Linked DNA regions of Neodiprion lecontei. The protein of the gene in region 1 purifies or fractionates together with the protein of each later gene. This does not show direct contact. Links are inferred from orthologs where the notes say so. Each region holds a gene or a part of one and is shown on either strand. Other genes may lie near its edges.

Region 1 (9,213 bases):
AATTGGAAATTATTTTTTCATTCAATTTGCTCGTTTTTGGTTTTTTTCAACTCTGCCAATTGAGGAACAAGGTAAGATTATTGCGCTACTTTTTCACGTAGGTACTAAAAATTACTAAATATAAATCGATCGCAATTTATCCTGCAATTCAATTTCTGATAGCATTAGGAAATAAAAATAGGTAAATCTTATAACCATACGACTATCATAACTACATCGATCAATTCGCCAAGAGTTTACATGCATTCATTATTAAAACTGAAACACGAACCTCGTGTTAATAAAACATTTATATGTTTCTACATGATTATAGAAAAGTAATATTTTTACATTTATGCGGCATAATTCTTCTACAAAGACGTTTTAAACAAAAGTCAGTTTAAGTGAAATGAAACGTTTTTATTACACACCTTAAGTGTCCAAAACTGCTTGGACTATTTTACAATTTCGCAATCATCTCTTTTTTAGTCGCTTATACTAACTGCTTATACAGACTGAATAATTACAATACAAATGTTACATTTGTATGTGATATCTATTAATTTATGATTCTATTTATCATAATTTATCTATCTTCTTTTTTCTGATTTTACCTTTTCTGTTTAATTAATAATCGTATGTTATATCAATGGCTACTCAACGGTTAGATAAGCACGGCAAATGGCTAGAACGAGTCACAATCAAAGTTTATATCAAACAAGCCTGTTCGTTTTAAATGATATCTTTGACTTTTAAAAAAAGATATATCAGCTTATGAATTCAACAAAATTCAAGAAGTTAGTATATCTTATATTGTTGATTTTATAAACTTTAAACATTTGCATATGAATAAAAATCAATCTTAAATATGTTTTTATTTGACTGAATTGAGGAAATGGGAAAATCGATCTGAAGCAGGTGGAAGACCTAGAAAAATCTTGTGCCAAAACAAAGGAGAGAGTCGCTAACAAAATAAAAACGTGCTGATGTAACACTGGCCCGGCCAGAGAGATAAAGTTAAAGTTATAACTTTGTCGAAAAAGAATTTCATCCCATGAGACTTTTACAATGCAATTAATTATGCACAATGTGAATATAAAATTCAAATTGAAACTGGCAGATAATAACGCCAGATAATTAGTCAAAATGCAGATAATACGAAATTATCCTTTTATTTTGCAAGCGACGAACTAAACTGGTGAAATACGGATACCACCCCAAGTTAGTAATAAACATAACATAACATGTACAGTAGTCGATGGCTGATGCACGATAAATTAGCGATTGCCGCGACATTATTCGCTTTATCGCAATTTTGAAATTCTCCAAAATATTTTCACTTTTTCTGATGATCATCACTCGTTAGTTATATTTACGTGACATTCAATGATGATGACAGTTTCATCAACGTATTCACATCATATTAACTCACTGTTATAGTCAATTGAATATGATACGTGATTAAAAAAAGCTAAGTGTAAATAACTAGGCAGCAGCTTCCTCAACCGCGGGACTTTCCATTACCTTATTTTCTATTTTCGGCAATTCAGGCTCTGTAGTATTAATTATCACTTGTTCAGCGGTTTTGGTAGTTATGACATCATCACTTTCCAAAACATGTTGCTCTTGTTGTTGTAGCTGCTCCGTTTCTTGTTCATTGTCTTGCCGTTGCTCTGTCATTACGACCACATCTAAGCTGACCTTCAACTCTTTTGAAGTTTCCGAGATATTGGTGATTTCAGAATTGGATATTACATCCTTGTCTTCATTGTCGACGGAATTTTCTCTTACTTCAGTGGTCTCATTAACCGCAAACTGATCGATTAGTACCTGCTTCTCTATCTGAACTCCAGCAAATTGTGCCTGTACGAATTTCCCATCGCCTTCCACCATGTTATTCTTACTTTCCGTATTTGTTCTTTGCACGCCGCCAACTGGAACGGAAATGATTTGTTGTTGTATTGTTCTACCTCTACCTCGACTAGTCATATGTTGCTGATTGTCAGGTGGCGGAAGAATAGGAATTGCAGCCTTTGGTCGTCTCATAGGAACTGCATGCTGTTGTTGTTGAGCAGGGCTGTAATAGGTACAACCCTGTGGCTGAAAGAGTTCTTGGGGCGGCGGCGGCCCTTGTGGCTGAAAACAAAGATATTGGTTTTCGTTATTACTCTGTCGTAATTAGGGTACTAGAAGATAAGTTAATTTCTAAAATTTCGTTGCTCATTGCAGGACATTTCAGAAATTAGCTGCTAATAAAACTACCATTTATCAACCAACCTGAACAGGCGGACTGAAGCCTTGATAACCCTGGAAGTTAGGTTGAAAGGCAGGCCCGTTCGGTCCCTGTACGTAATTAATCATGCTTGGCGGTGCACCCTGAGGTGGTAAGAACTGAGGTGAAGGTACCAAAAATGGAGGTGGAGCAAAACTTGCTGGTTGACCACCTGGAGGCAAGGGAAGGACCGGTTGTCCAGCTAGAGGAGCTGCCGGCGGTGCTACTGGTGGAGCCTGATCAAAGTGACCCGCAGGGTATCCTAAAATCATAGAAAAAACTTTTGTAAGTAACTGTTCATATTTATTTAGTGATTGAAAAGTAGGCAGCTGATGTTTCATCATCTGATCCAAAGTTTCCTCAGATTGGATAACTCATGAAACTCGCCAACACATGCTTTTTCACACATTTCATACACAAAATATTTTACACGAATAAAGCAGAAGCCTTATGGATAAAACATTTTTTAATTACAAAAAAGAAAGCATATATCCCAAAGTGCATAGGAAATCTCAAGACTTGCACTGTGAATTTATGAATAGCGATCACAATCCTTATTTTCAAGTAACAATGCAAAGATGAGGTATACTTCCCATGCTTGTGTGGATAAAAGCCACAAAGCACAAGTCATTGAGAAGATTATAACTGAAAGTAGTACGCTGAAACTTGATCTGTCATTCACTTTGTAAAATAACATTGAAGTCAGCAAAGCTAGTACAATGATGTTGCAAACTAATTAAAAGTGCATTCTCAACATGTAATTGTCAGATGATCTGCAAATCAATGAACAGCATCAAACTAGAGAAATAGTCAAATCGCGCACACGATACTACTGAATCTTTTTTGTCAAATTTACCTTGGGAATCTAGAACGCCTCTTGAATTTCCAGCTAAGAACATGTGAATACAAATGTTAATACTAAAAGTAAAAGTTAATAAATTTCGGTAAAATATACAATTAGCCTACAGCATACACGTCACGTTGACATATTCGAAAAAAAGTGCAGCATGGTCGTGTCAAATAATCGTTGCATCGATCAGGAAATATTTAGATGAGGTTATGTTATAAGATCACAATAAAGCGAATGATTTCGACTGATTAAATACCTTGTGGGTAATAGCCATGTTGACCATGCTGAGGCTGGTAGCCTTGCTGTCCAGGACCCTCTGGAACTGGTGGGCGCTGGCGTAAGCTTGAATACCGTTTAGGTCTGTTACCAGCTGCGTCATGCTGCTGTTGGCGAGCTGATTGCTGCTGTGCTGGCTGCTGCTGTTGCTGTGGTTGCTGGTGCTGTTGTTGCATACGTGGAGGAATCGTACCAGGTCGAACTTGGCCTGGAGATTGGACATACAAATTTTCTGTAAAGATAAAAAATAAGCTGTTAGAAAAGCTTTGCAAGTCAAGATGCTCGTTGATCATATTGTCAGACAAGCATAAAATCTTACTGTTCTGTCTGCTATTCTGTTGAAAAGATCCTCCGTCATTGACATTCATCTGTTTCATATCGGTAATTATATGATGATCGTCGATGTGATTATTGTCTGAATTATTTCGCCTATTATCAAGTGGAACTGAGCCAGATCCACGACCTTTAGCTTTATAATCCAATCTGTTGGATCCTGCATTGTTAGTGTTACCACTCGCTTTGAATCCTCGACCTCTGGCTCTACTGGCTGCCAAACTCACACTCTCCTGGACCTGCCTTTTGTTCGAATCACGAGGCGAGGATTTGTGATTCAGTAATTTGTCTGCATCACCACCACCACCGCTTCCATTAGAACTTTGACTATGCGAATTCTGTTTCACTTCCTTCTTCCAAGCTGGATTTGTTGGCTCATTAAGGGTTCGCATTTCGTTTCTATAATAAAACATTGATGTTGAATTGATGAGTATGTTGGGTAAACACTTTGTAAAATAGTTTGCTAGTGGCATTGTATTTTTACTTTTTTTTTTCTCATACTTACATCCCAGAATCATTTGTAGGACTAGTCTTCGAGTTTAGAGACTCATGCTGTGCTTGGAGAGGTGGGAAGTTTCCTGCTTTGGGTTGAGATTTGTTTTTGTTGCTATACCACGCCGAAGTGATAACTGGTTCTTCTGGTGTGGTTGACCTGTCGTCCTGTGAAAAAAACACACCTTCGTTAGAGACTACATACACTTGCTTTGTTGAACTGTAAAAAGATACATCTCAAATTGTTCTAATTCAACGTGGAACTAATCGAGTATTTAAACATCGACTGATACTAACAATAAGTAGCCAGCTGGTACAGTCACCTATTGCGTAATTAATTCAAAACAATATGATCAAAATAGAAATTCTCACCTTATTATTGCCACCACTTAATGCAGGAAACTCTTCTCCACTTCGGTTTGTTTTTCTAACACCACCTCGGCCAACTGAAGGAGGACCACCTGGCTTACCATATGCATCTTCATCCTCCCAGTTTCGCGTGTATTTGTTTGGACCGCGACTATTATTGGAATAAGGATAAGTTAGCAGAGTACCAGAAACTTTTACACAAACTTGATACTGATGAATTAAGAGTAAGCATGGTGAAAAAATTTTGTTCTTGTAGACAGTGATCAGACTTTCGTTTGCTATGCAATCAATATTTTTTATTGTAGTTTTTTTAATTCTTTAAATGTTTTAGCTGCCAATGCTGATAATATCTTGCTGAATAACAAGTTTCTAAGACTTTATAGTGAAATGGTAATTGATGTCTATTTACCCATATCTTCTCCTCCGTCGAGCTCTAGGCGGGCCTTCTTCGTTTCGAATATCGTAGCCATAGACAGCTACTAGTTCATCATGGCTCTTGGGTGCTTGTTCATCGTCATTATACCTATCATGATCCCATCGATCCTCCTTGTCTTTCCAGACTTTCTTTTCTTTCACCTCTCTTTCGTTGGGATTTTCTACTTTTTCTTCGGCTACCTCCTCCGTTGTTCTGTCATCGTGTTCGTAAAACGTACCTCGCTTAGGGATATACTGAGGATTACGTCTGTCTTCATCGTCATCCAGTTTTCGCTGCGGCTTGTCCTCCTCCTGTCCATCTCCACTCTCCCGTAAACCGCCATCCTGCGAGTCTGCCTCAGACCTGCTTTCGCCTGTCTCATATTCTGAGTCACGATGCTCCTCACCCTCTGTAACTTCGTTACTCTATTGGATGAAAAAAAATTTTTAGTCGAAAAAAGAATTTTTTTGTCCCGTAGAAGCTCAAAATTAATTGAAAACCAAAATAGGCCCTACAAATGAATGACCTAATCTAACATATAGAGCAATTACTGTAACATCAAGCCATAAGTGAGGTACAGTTATGTATCTGGGTGAAAGGCAGCCTACCATCCAGCTCCAGTTTTCATTTACAGAAAAATAAGAAGGCCAATGTAACTATGCAATAAGAAATAAGCTACCAATCTGTTTCTAGTACAAACTCACGCTTTACGACGTGTGACCATAGTGACGATTATCAACACGTCGTCAGCGTCTTACAAGCATTAATTGGGGATATGAAAATTGTTTAACTCAATAACTTGAAACAATGATTGAAATTAATTTAAAAATATTCATTCAAATATATAACTCGCATTTAGCAACAGATGGCAATCATTTTTATACATTTTTCCCAGTTGATATGACGATTGCCAGTGGATGTATTGTCCTAGCAGATAAAAACGGAGAAAACTAAACACAAACAGTGGAAAAAGTTGCAATCACATAAAGATATCAATTTCCGCGTTGTCGAATGAACGTGTTTATTTTTCGGCATACAGTAATATATGGTAAGGACGAAAGTTTACATTTTTTACAATTGATTCGACGGCAGAAAATCTGAGATACTAATCTGTAAGTACACGATGCGTAAGTGTACAGTGTCTATATCTATTGGCACGGATATCAAGATGATTCTAAACAGCAGAGAATTCAGGCTAAATATAAGTGACATACGAAGGGCATAACCTGCGAAAACGTTGCGGCAAATTTTTTTGCCGTATAATTGGATGGCACATTACTGAATAGAACTTTATCAGAACCTGGGGTGATACACGCAAATTATAACGAGAAATCTTTGAACTTTCGACCTCATTTCTCCGGTGCGATCAACCTTCATCGACAAACGGTCAAGTCAGACCGTAAATACAACGCCCGTTTACGTTTAGAAATATAGATGTTGAAACAATAGTTGTCAAATAAAACTAACCTGGGTTTCCTTAGTTACATGTAACTCCTCGTACGAATCCGAAAGATCTTCAGATCCTCCAGAAGTATTAGACTTTCTACGACGCCGTGTATCCGACATAATTAGTTCACTGAAGCTACACACGTTCGAGTTTTGCTCGTACTCCATGTTAGACTGTACAGAGACTGACCGATTCGCATTCGTCGCGTTCGTTTTGTTCGTTGTCCCCCTAGCGTCGTCGCGACACACTAAAATCTACTGCCAACATGCAGTCAGTATGATGCAGAGTGGGGGGAGACTGAGTGACCATAGAACCCGCGACGTTCGAAATTATGATATGCGAGACCCCGTTATTTCATCAATGTTCTTATGGACCCCAGATTGAACACATTGGTAAAGAAAAATAGAACACAACATATGTCATTTTGGAAATCAAATGCCTGTTCAGAATCTGAATCAGAGTGATATTTTTTTTTCAATACGAATATCTCGTCACCACTCGTGACGTTTACTGATGGTATACATACATGCAAAGGCTGCTAAAACATGCTCTAAGGCACTGATGCTAGCCTTAAGCTGGATTTTTACGGGCGTCAAATTGACGCGATGACAAATTAACGCGGCAGTGTCACGCCGTCGCGTCGGCAGCAAAAAGACGCCCATGAAAATGACTACCAACGCACCGGCAAAATGCCGCAAGTATGAACTACGTAATTGAGTGGGTGTTTGTCAGTTGCGTTTTTATCTAATAATTGAGAAATCGAGGATTGTTAATTGGAAGTGCACTGAGAAAAATTTCATTTGTTAGAGTAACTAGAAAAATTCAGTAAAATAGGTATCGTTAAATGAACTGTTTGAATATTGTTGGAATTACGAAAAACGACGTACACGTAACCATTTTGCGCTATTGTCGATCCTTTTTTGGTAATTGCAACGCAAAATCAGTTTCTGAGGTTTACTCTACTTTTTTGGTTAAATTAAATTTTCGCAACGGTTGCAAGAAAATATAGTAAAAGTGTTCGTAATGAGAAAGAATAGTAACGGATACCAGACTTTCTGGTAACAGCTACAAATTTAATTTTCATTTTGTACCTAGAACTATATTTTTCGATTGTGGTAAAGAATAAAAATAGTTACGGACTGAGCGGTAACCGGAACTAAAAATTTCTCTCAGCGTGTGAACAAACGGAAAAAATGGAGAAGCAAGAAGGAAATGAAATAAAACGGTAGCAGTTTTTCGAAGTAAGAGAATAGTATCGTTCATTTTCATTATTCCAGAATCGTGAACTCGTGCATATTTAAGATGCCTCTTCATACATTTATTACCGCATAGCCCATACTGAAAATGCTGCGGTGTGTCCAGGGCCTTTCTTTTGGACGATTAACAATAACAAAAATAAAATCAATGATTGATTAATTTGAATGAATTACATGTATTACGATTACAAAATAATGAGAATGAATGAAATTATTTTCTCATATCTCGGACAGCAATTCATAGATATTATAGACAAGCTCTATGGAATGGAGTCCGAATATGCTGCCGGCAACGAATCAAGAGTTACAGTCGAAAAACGAAAGATTTCCTTCGTGATTCCTCTGCTGTTGATCCTACGCTGTTTTTGATGTTTTTACCGCATTCCTAAGGGTCCAATCAGTGGAAAAAAAAGACCTGCAAAACGATTCTGAGACGAAAAGTTTCCGAGCTCTAAAAATCGCAAAACAGCAAGGCAGCAGCAACCCCTTTGGATTTTTTCGATGAATCGATAGCGCGCAGTTTGAATACGCTATGACTAACGGTGTTCGGCCCTGCATGCCCGAATGTTTTGTTTTCATATAGTTTTATTGTATAGTTACAGGTAATTTTCAAAGAAAACGCTGGGTCGACAAACGGGAATTCACACATACCTGAAAGGGATGAAAGACTTAGGCCAGGTCGGTTCGATTCTGCTTTATTGGACAGACAATCGCACCACATTCTGCAAGATAATGACCGCCATGCTTTGTTCTGCCGCTGATAGACAGTAACCATGCTTTCTACTAATAATACAGCCGTCGAAGGGTACCACGGAACGCTGGCTTTGTATGCATTTACAACATGCAGGTACTCGCCAAATGTGAGTGCAGACATTGCTGGACAGCGCGTTCAAAGGAGACCGTGAGTCACTTTTATTGCTTTATGGTTTATTGTTAAAACCGGAAATACTTTATTGCCATGATCCTTATGCCATAACATAAAGGTTAACGATACCGTTAGGTTTAAGTTATATATTTCTTGTGGTTAATTGCTTTTTCAATAAATTGCTCATCGCACTTCAGTCTGTTGTAATTACTAGGTATAATCAATTGAAACCTACTCTAATATTCGGTATTATGACTAAACACCTGTACTGTTAATTACGTTTTTGAATAAATTACTGATTTGTTGTTAAATAGCATAGCATAGAAGAAATAATAGGCCCTTAGAACATTCGTCCTAGGGAACACGAACAAACGGATCAACAGTTACGATCGGAAAGTGAAAGATTTCCTTCGTAAATCCTCTACTGTTGGTCACACGCTGTTTTCAACGTCTTTCGCATTTCTGAGAGTCCAACTACTATAGAGTAAAAGAGCTGGAAAACGATTCTGAGAGGAAAAGTTTCCAAGCTATGAAAATCGCAAAAAAGCAAGACTAACCGCTTCAAATTTTTTTCAATTGAAATTTGGCTGTTTTGAAGAAAAAGTTTGATTGATTCTCTGATGCACTAGGTCGACGTAATTGAGAGAGAAAAATCGATT
Region 2 (7,772 bases), on another chromosome or scaffold:
CCCTTATACATGTGCTATACTTGCGGTTGATGATTGAGGATTTTTTTGTATTTCTTAACTCAAATTTTGGACAAATATCTCTGTATGTCTGTGTCATGCTATATCAACAGATATGCAAGAATTGCTGCCTATAGATGCCCGATCTGAAGGCAACGATGAAGAGGACGACGACGATGAATCGGAAACTCCAATGACTGAAATGAGATTCGTTCCAGAAAATTCAAATAGCTTGGATGCCATGTTTCAAGCGATGAGCCAGTGCCAAGCACTCCACCCTGATCCTCAAGGTATCTAAATGGTCATGCCTCAAATTCATGACAATCCTTTTGACTTTACTTCAATTACTATTGTATTCTACCTTGGAGGTATAATGCACCTTTTTTTTTCACGCAAATTGACCAAATTTATTTATTTCTAACTCTGCTACAGAACCCTATAGATTTCAATTCCAAGTTATAAGTTACAGAAACAATTATAATGAATAGAAATGAACAAAAACTTCACAGCTGAAGAGGATATCTATGAGGATGCTGAGGACGATGTTTTCAAATGTTGGGAAGCTGAAACAGACGCTATGCCATACATATTGGCATCGGGTATGATTTCTCTCTGTTTTTGTTGAATGGTTAGATTGAATACAATTTGCTATCTAGATGCTGGCCCTGTAACCATTCAATTGGCATGGTAATTTTCCAGATGAAGCATATAATCAGAACGGTGCAGATACAGACGAAGCCATGGATATTGAAGCAGGCCAGTTTGAAGATGCTGAAGAAGACCCTTAGGTAGTTGGTGGTATTAAATTCTACTCTCTGCTGTCAACTAAAACGTGCGTCAATCGTCACTATATCTCTTTGTTCGTGCAGTTTATTTTCATGCGCGTTGTAGACATAATGCTATAAGCTTACCGAATCACAATACTCTGAAGTAAATTTCTGTCAGCTAAGACACAAAGCGCTCGAATTTATATTCATATTCATTTTGTACATGATAACTATTCCTATGGTAAAAAATATAGGTATATAAATATAGATATAATATTGCATTTGATTTTTGTCATTGCGCATTAACGCGATTAATGGGAATGAGATTTTAGACGGAGAAGTATACCTTGCGTAAAAATGACAATCTAAGATTATTGTAACTATCTATCGTGTGTCGGAAATGGTTGATGGAATATGTGATGTTAGGCATGCGAATTATTGTACGTAATTTTAACGTTGGAACGTTTATTTCTCAATTAACGGCGCATGCCGAGTTTACACGTATACCTATTGGTAATGGATGTGTAAAGCTGGGGTCGAAAGGTTTCAATCGAACGATCCCACTTGGAAACACATCCCCGTTTGAATTTGAGATCTGTAGAACAGCGTACATTATTTTGTATACTTAAACATTTGATGTACTCGCGTAACGTGTGTGTGTGTGTAACCACTTATGCATATAGCATAAAAATCATCACAGGTAGTATGGCTACCACAGGCATAAGAAACCGATATCAAGTGTTATCATTACAATATACCTTGCCGAGGTTACACTATTTTCTGCTCATCGAATTTTTTTGGGCCCAAAAATAAGATCAGCATCCGGCGCACCCTTTGGGTGATTGTACTTTTGTCGACGTTCTCTGTTCAGATTAACGGTAACAGGTCTAGTGCCTTGATTTATAGTCTCTTGATAATCCTCTTCCTCCTGTCTTTCGGTAATATTTAGTGTCAATCTCTTCACCCTCTCCTTTTCTTCTTTCTGTTCTTGTTCCCGATTCCTGAGATTCATAGCGAGTTCGGAAGACACAGGAACAGCAAGATTTTTATACTGCTGCTTATTACCTTTCCTAAGCATGAGTACAAAGTCCACAGTCGTATTGTCCGACGGTCCTTCACGTAATTGTTCATACGTCTTTTTTGTGCTCTTGACATGGAGTGGCACAGATATATCAACCTGTTGTGGCTTCACCGAGTCACGCATCCGGTCCTGGATATTGTCAGACACCATTTTGTCAAGGGCCGAAAGAAAATCGTCATCTTCTGGGCAGCCAACCCGCCTTGGCGCCATTGGTAGCGCAGCATCTAATTCTGAGGGGTCCATAACAACCCCCTCACTCACGCCTGCCGATAGACTGAACTCCCCTTGAGTATTTTCCTGTGTACCATGATTACCTTCTCTGTAACCATCTGTTGCCCAGTCATCTTCCGACTGTGCTTCAGAATACTCTTCACTTTCATCGAAGTGCAGTTCTTCGAGTATACCTTTGGCATCTCCACTTCCGTTACCTGAAGCTATTGGCGTAGGTGTCGTCACTTCCTCATCGACCTCTGGTATAGCTCCCATTGCTTCAGATTCATTATTGCTGTCGGATGCGCGTGGTTCACCTGAATACTGTTCGTCCTCCTTTACTTCAATTCTGGCGAGACTTGGGTACAAGGTGTTGCGCAATTCATCTACAGCACAACGGGCCTCTTTGAAACCTTGGAACAGCTGCATCTTTGGCCTAAGCATTGTCAGTGTGTCACGATACATATAATCGACGCTGACTGGAAATGGATTTTCGACGGTCCATACAGGATCGCTACGCTTGAACCAGTAGTAATGCTGGAAGAATATTAGGAAATAATCCAGTTTCTTCTTACTAGAACCACCACTAAAGTATTGACCACATGTTTCCAGGAGCGTGCAGACCAAACGGATTCTGAACAAATGCTCAGGCGGATCAAGGAGCGTAGGTACTGTATGATCTGTAGAAACGCCGAAAGTTATGAGCAGGTAGAGAGTGCGGAAGATGTCGCCGCTCTCGACTAGGCGATAATTGTATAATTCCCCGAGGTACTTGACCATTGCAATACGACGTTGGTTATACTTTGGCAAATTTACCTCCATGCACAGCCTTATGTCTTCCAGAACGCCATCTACAACGTAAGGGCCAACAGCCTCATAATGCGCCACCAAACCTGCTAGTAAACTACCAACGCACCTTATGTTCAGGTACTTTACATTATGGGCGGCTACAAGGCATTTAATAGCATACGTAGAAATATTGTCATCCTCCCAGTCCAGTTTTCTCATTAGTCTCAATACCTTGTCAGTATTTGCCTTGGACAGATCCTGGTAAAGTAGTTTTCTAATGAACTCGTGCATAGGTGGTCTTTCTTTTTTTGCAATACCGCCAGTGGACTCTGGTGGATTAACAAAGTAGTAAGCGTTCTCTATTATCGTTACGTAACGCGAATCCAAAGCAGTAACCGCCTTTTTTCGCATCATTTGTTCCAGGTAGATTTTTGTGCGTTGATGAGAGTCTGGGGAACAAAATAAGAATCTCCCGCACGTCTCTAATAGATTGCAAGCCATTTCAACATGGTGATGAGTGAAATCGTGCAATAGTACTTTAAGACAGTAAAGTGCCTCAATTTTTGAGTACAGTTTGAACTTAACAAGCTCACCGATGTAACGAACAACTTTTATTTTTGACTCAATGTTGATCTGGTCTTTCTTTCTAACGTGGTACTTAAAATCTTGCTTGAGCATTAGACAGAGGTCATTAGCGACGTCTGGCATAACTGGATAAAGGATGCCGGCAAGCCGTGAGTAGAAGGGCAGCAAATCTAGCCGAATTCTGGACACACCGAACAGGGCCTTAATGAGTTTCTTTCTATTGTGCTTCGTGTTTAAATTCATAAGGAAATCAACAGCTGCATTGTCAATCATTTCTCTATTAACACAATTGGGAAGGTGAGTCAGAAACGCGTCCAATAATATTTTGTTGCTGATATTCGTGACGTGTGTCTCTTCAACCTCTGCCTCTGGCTCTTCGGCAACTTTGTCTGTGTCCTCGAGTTCTTCCAGCGCCAATTCCTCGTCCAGAGCCTCTTCTGTTAGTTGATTTTCGTCAGGTTTAAGCACAGGTACTTCTTTTGAATAAGAACCAGGCAAAAATACGGTGAGGTCTGGGAATACTTCGTAAAATCTCTTAGTCTCCTCATCGCCCCACATATCTTCTGTTGTTGTGCCGCTATCCTCACCGTCACAGGTCATCTTGAAAGACTCTTCTGCTTCTGTTTTAACCTCCATGTCGACTGGCAGTTCAGGCATGCTTTCGTCTAATGTTTCTGAAAAGCTTTGCACGCCACTGAACAAACGCTCATAGGATACCTGCAGAGTTTCCAACTTTTCTTTCCTCTCTGAGCTCAATTCACCTCTGGTCTGCAGTATCTTTCGATTCTGTTTTTCGAATGCCTGAAGCTCTTTGTGTTCCTTGAGTAGATGTTTGCACAGAGAGTTGTAATAGTCCCGCAGTAGTGTTCGAACATTCTGCTGCTTGTCGGCAGACAGTAGTCTGCTTTTGGGCAAAGGCTCGCCTGGCCATAGCTCAGACAACTCTCTTATTTTTCTTGGTACCAGACCCGCATAGTCCTCACCACAGTGACGGCAAAAACTCAAAATTATCGTTACGTTGTTGTGGTCTTCTTTGTCCATATTAATGAGTACGGTGAGCACGCTGCCCAAAAGCGGAAGACCCTGCTTGTGCGTAAATATGCCAGCATTGACTAACTCAGCGTAAAATCTTAAATCTACCCTTAGCTTGCTAGGATTTGAAATCTTGTCACCGACTTTGAAACTCAATATCCTCTGCCAATTCTCAAAGAAATGAGCGCCAAATTCGGCATAATTCTGGTGCAGGTAACTGCAAACCTTCACAGCTGGCGCGACATCAGTCATTTTCAATTTAGCCTCTACAAGAGCTGTCGCCACTTCGCTTATATATTTCGTTAAATTCAAATTGCTCATATCTTTCAGGACGGTATCCAGCTGAGCCGTACAAAAGTTCTTGAGCTTTTTGACAAATGTAGTATTTTTCTTCAAGCTGGAATCCAGTTTGCTGAAATGCGAATCAGGCGGACGGGACACATTTAGGTTTGCTAATCGGATCTTTTCCTTTGTTGAGAAACGCTGTTCCGCCTCCCTGATATATTCCATCAGAAACTCCTTGTCCACCTCTGACACATCGGGTGATACTTTTTCCGCCTCTTGACTGTCATTTTGAATCTCTGACATCGCCACGGTCTCTTGTTGTCTTCCGGACAGAAGTGTTTTACGATGTTCTGTTTGTAACAAATCATTTATTGAATTTTAGTTAGAAGATAGAAAAGAGGTTAGGTTTGTTTGACAAGATTATAATCTATAAGGAATTGACACAGTTCAGCTACAAGCCTGTACCTCGTTTTAACGACACTAAACTCCTGGCCGATCTTCAATCCATGGACTTTACAGCACTTTACAGTAAAATAAAATTATACACAACTACCCACCACGTCGTTGTTGACTCTGTGTTCTTGATTTGTTTTTATCAATTCTATGGTTAGATACGACCACAGACTTTTAAATACGACCAGGATACGACGCGCCATAGCGCATTTGTGCAATGTGCTCCTTACGAAAAATAAAAGCTTCCGCCAGCGGCTCAACGATGGCGCTAAACGACAAAACTGCGCGCGTCAATTCAATCCTTGTAGACCAAAATATTCGAGATATTGTCGACGGAACATGAAATACAAGTTTTGCTCTCAGCGATGAAGTTTATTCTCATTTTCATGTACACGAAAAGAACGCTCCAAAGTACAAAATATTTACAGAAAATCTTGAGAGTAAACAATTTCTAACAATATATAATTTTCAACTATTCTACACCGGTGTGTGAATTGCTTGAAAACCTGCCACAGGCCACTTATTCAAATTATCTTTCAACACTGAGGGGAACAGAGACAAGAACTTGAAACAGTTTCCCATTTTGTCTTCGTCTGTAATCATACTGTATCCCGAAATTAATGCTTTTCTGGTACTGTCGTCGGATGCTTTCTTCAACAGCATAATCAGCCTGGTGTCGATACCAAGCTGTTTTAAAAAATGTCTCTGGGTGACGGGGCCAAATGATATCAGACGATTATTTTGACATGCTATTCTCCTCAGCAGTGAGAAGTCAACGTCTGCAGTCAAGTCAGCTGTTCCTGGATTCGTGAGTGGATCCTGCTGCTTGTGATTACGGAAAGCTCGAAACGTGTCTGTTCGATCTCCGTTATGACCGTAGTCAGCAATAAGCGCGAATCCTCCGTTTCCTATGAGAAAATTTGCAATATAATCTATAATTACGGCGGTTTGCGGGCTTGTTTCGATGTGATCCCTGCGTTCGTGTTCCTAAAAAAAATTGATGCATATAAATTAGTGACATAAATCATGTAATTTTACATGTATGGGTCATATGTGCTAGAATTCTCAACAACGGTTATATTTAAAATTGCGTATCTCATTTAGATATTTCAAATTTGTAATAACTGTTTCACACATACTTATTCGGACAGCAAACAACAGACTCTAAACCTTATTCATCATCAAATGTAACTTATCTTCATTTGTTTTAGAAAGTTAGATATTTCCTACGCTCACTAATGCTTACAGAGATGTAAAACTTGGTATTCGGAGTAGCTGACCTAGACAAGACGTAGCGAAATTTTTCAGTCTCTTTCGACTCTGAATGGATGTCGATTAAAATTTCTCTCCATCCCTCGTTTGTTTTCTAAAAAAGGAAGAAGCAATGTTTTAAATTGGCAGCTAAGAAGCTGGAAATTCCATCTTCACGCTCAGATTAGTTCACCTGAAACTTATGTATGGGCATAGCGTCGAAAAATTCCTGTGCAATTATGATGCTGAAACCAGAAGGAACATCGTGGATGGTTCGATACCAGAACACTGTGACACCATCCTCTGTTGTGCCATGTTTGTAATAAGATTGACATTTGTCATTGTCAATTTCTTCATATGTTTTGCATAAATTCTTTGCTTGCAGGTCAGACAGTGTTGGGCTGACCTCTACCAAATGTAATGAAACTCTGGAGGATAATCCCAGTTTGTGGTAAACCTGAACGACAGAGACACCTATCTATCAGCAATACTACAAGAGAGAGGAAGGCCCTTGCTTCGCTATATGCTCAATAAAAGTGAGACCAGCTAATAAAATGCATGCAAGATAGTCAACAAGTCCATAGAACCGTGTAAAGAGTTTAATCAACATAGATAAAACAAATACCAGAAAGCATTAGGTTCAAAATTAAAGTTTAAAGATCAAATATAGACTGGTAAGTGAAGTTAGCATTGAAATATTTCTTATACTGTTCTAGTCAGCTGAAGAGCTGAAAATCTATGCATTTAACTTATTAGAAATTCATACAATCACTTGAAACTTATCATGCATAAACCATTACCACCAGATAGATTAAATACACGTTTGAGTTTTGATTCGTAACTCTTCAAGCCTACATACAGCATTTTGGATAAGTTTTGCAAATTTCAGGTAATTTGGTTGTCTGGCAGAGTGGGCAATATTTCGAAGTAAAAATTATAAGCCTCAAAGCTAATTTTTTTTTTTTGGTTCTAGTGTATCTGAACTAAACGAACAAAGGTGAGCCTTGGACTAATGAGATCTTTTGACACACCCTGAGTATATCTTTTGATAAGGTTCCTCGTCCCGGACCTAATTCCACCAGCTGCACAGATTGGTTGCTTATTTTTCTCCATTCGTTTACAGACCAGACAGCAATCATCTATCGAAATGTCTAAGATTAATCAATACTGCATATCTAATAATAATAAAAACAACAATTGATGAAAGGGTTAGCGATGATCGTTTATTGCTTTTGTAGGCCATCAGGATTACCTCTCCAAATAGCTGGCTGATTTCTGGGGAAGTAGTGAAGTCACCTTCAGTGCCAAAAACGTCTTTATTC

What was found.
Region 2: the proteins of protein CASC3 (region 1) and regulator of nonsense transcripts 2 fractionate together in Homo sapiens (co-fractionation; 3 studies listed by BioGRID and IntAct). This does not show direct contact. The link is inferred for Neodiprion lecontei from reciprocal best matches to the Homo sapiens genes CASC3 and UPF2.

The regions. Positions count from the first base shown.
Region 1 is NC_060262.1:37,919,496-37,928,708, forward strand, and holds protein CASC3, read right to left. Parts: upstream 6,617-9,213; 5' UTR 6,601-6,616; coding exon 6,454-6,600; intron 5,412-6,453; coding exon 4,981-5,411; intron 4,723-4,980; coding exon 4,575-4,722; intron 4,371-4,574; coding exon 4,216-4,370; intron 4,110-4,215; coding exon 3,697-4,109; intron 3,610-3,696; coding exon 3,358-3,609; intron 3,141-3,357; coding exon 3,108-3,140; intron 2,514-3,107; coding exon 2,257-2,513; intron 2,116-2,256; coding exon 1,465-2,115; 3' UTR 385-1,464; downstream 1-384. UniProt on the Homo sapiens protein: Required for pre-mRNA splicing as component of the spliceosome. Core component of the splicing-dependent multiprotein exon junction complex (EJC) deposited at splice junctions on mRNAs.
Region 2 is NC_060264.1:26,452,699-26,460,470, reverse strand, and holds regulator of nonsense transcripts 2, read right to left. Parts: upstream 5,398-7,772; 5' UTR 5,212-5,397; intron 5,097-5,211; 5' UTR 5,050-5,096; coding exon 1,549-5,049; 3' UTR 1,213-1,548; downstream 1-1,212. Other genes in the region: methylosome subunit pICln, read left to right, coding at 111-287, 486-596, 697-785; protein arginine methyltransferase NDUFAF7, mitochondrial, read right to left, coding at 5,677-6,186, 6,446-6,565, 6,644-6,907, 7,482-7,589, 7,703-7,772. UniProt on the Homo sapiens protein: Involved in nonsense-mediated decay (NMD) of mRNAs containing premature stop codons by associating with the nuclear exon junction complex (EJC).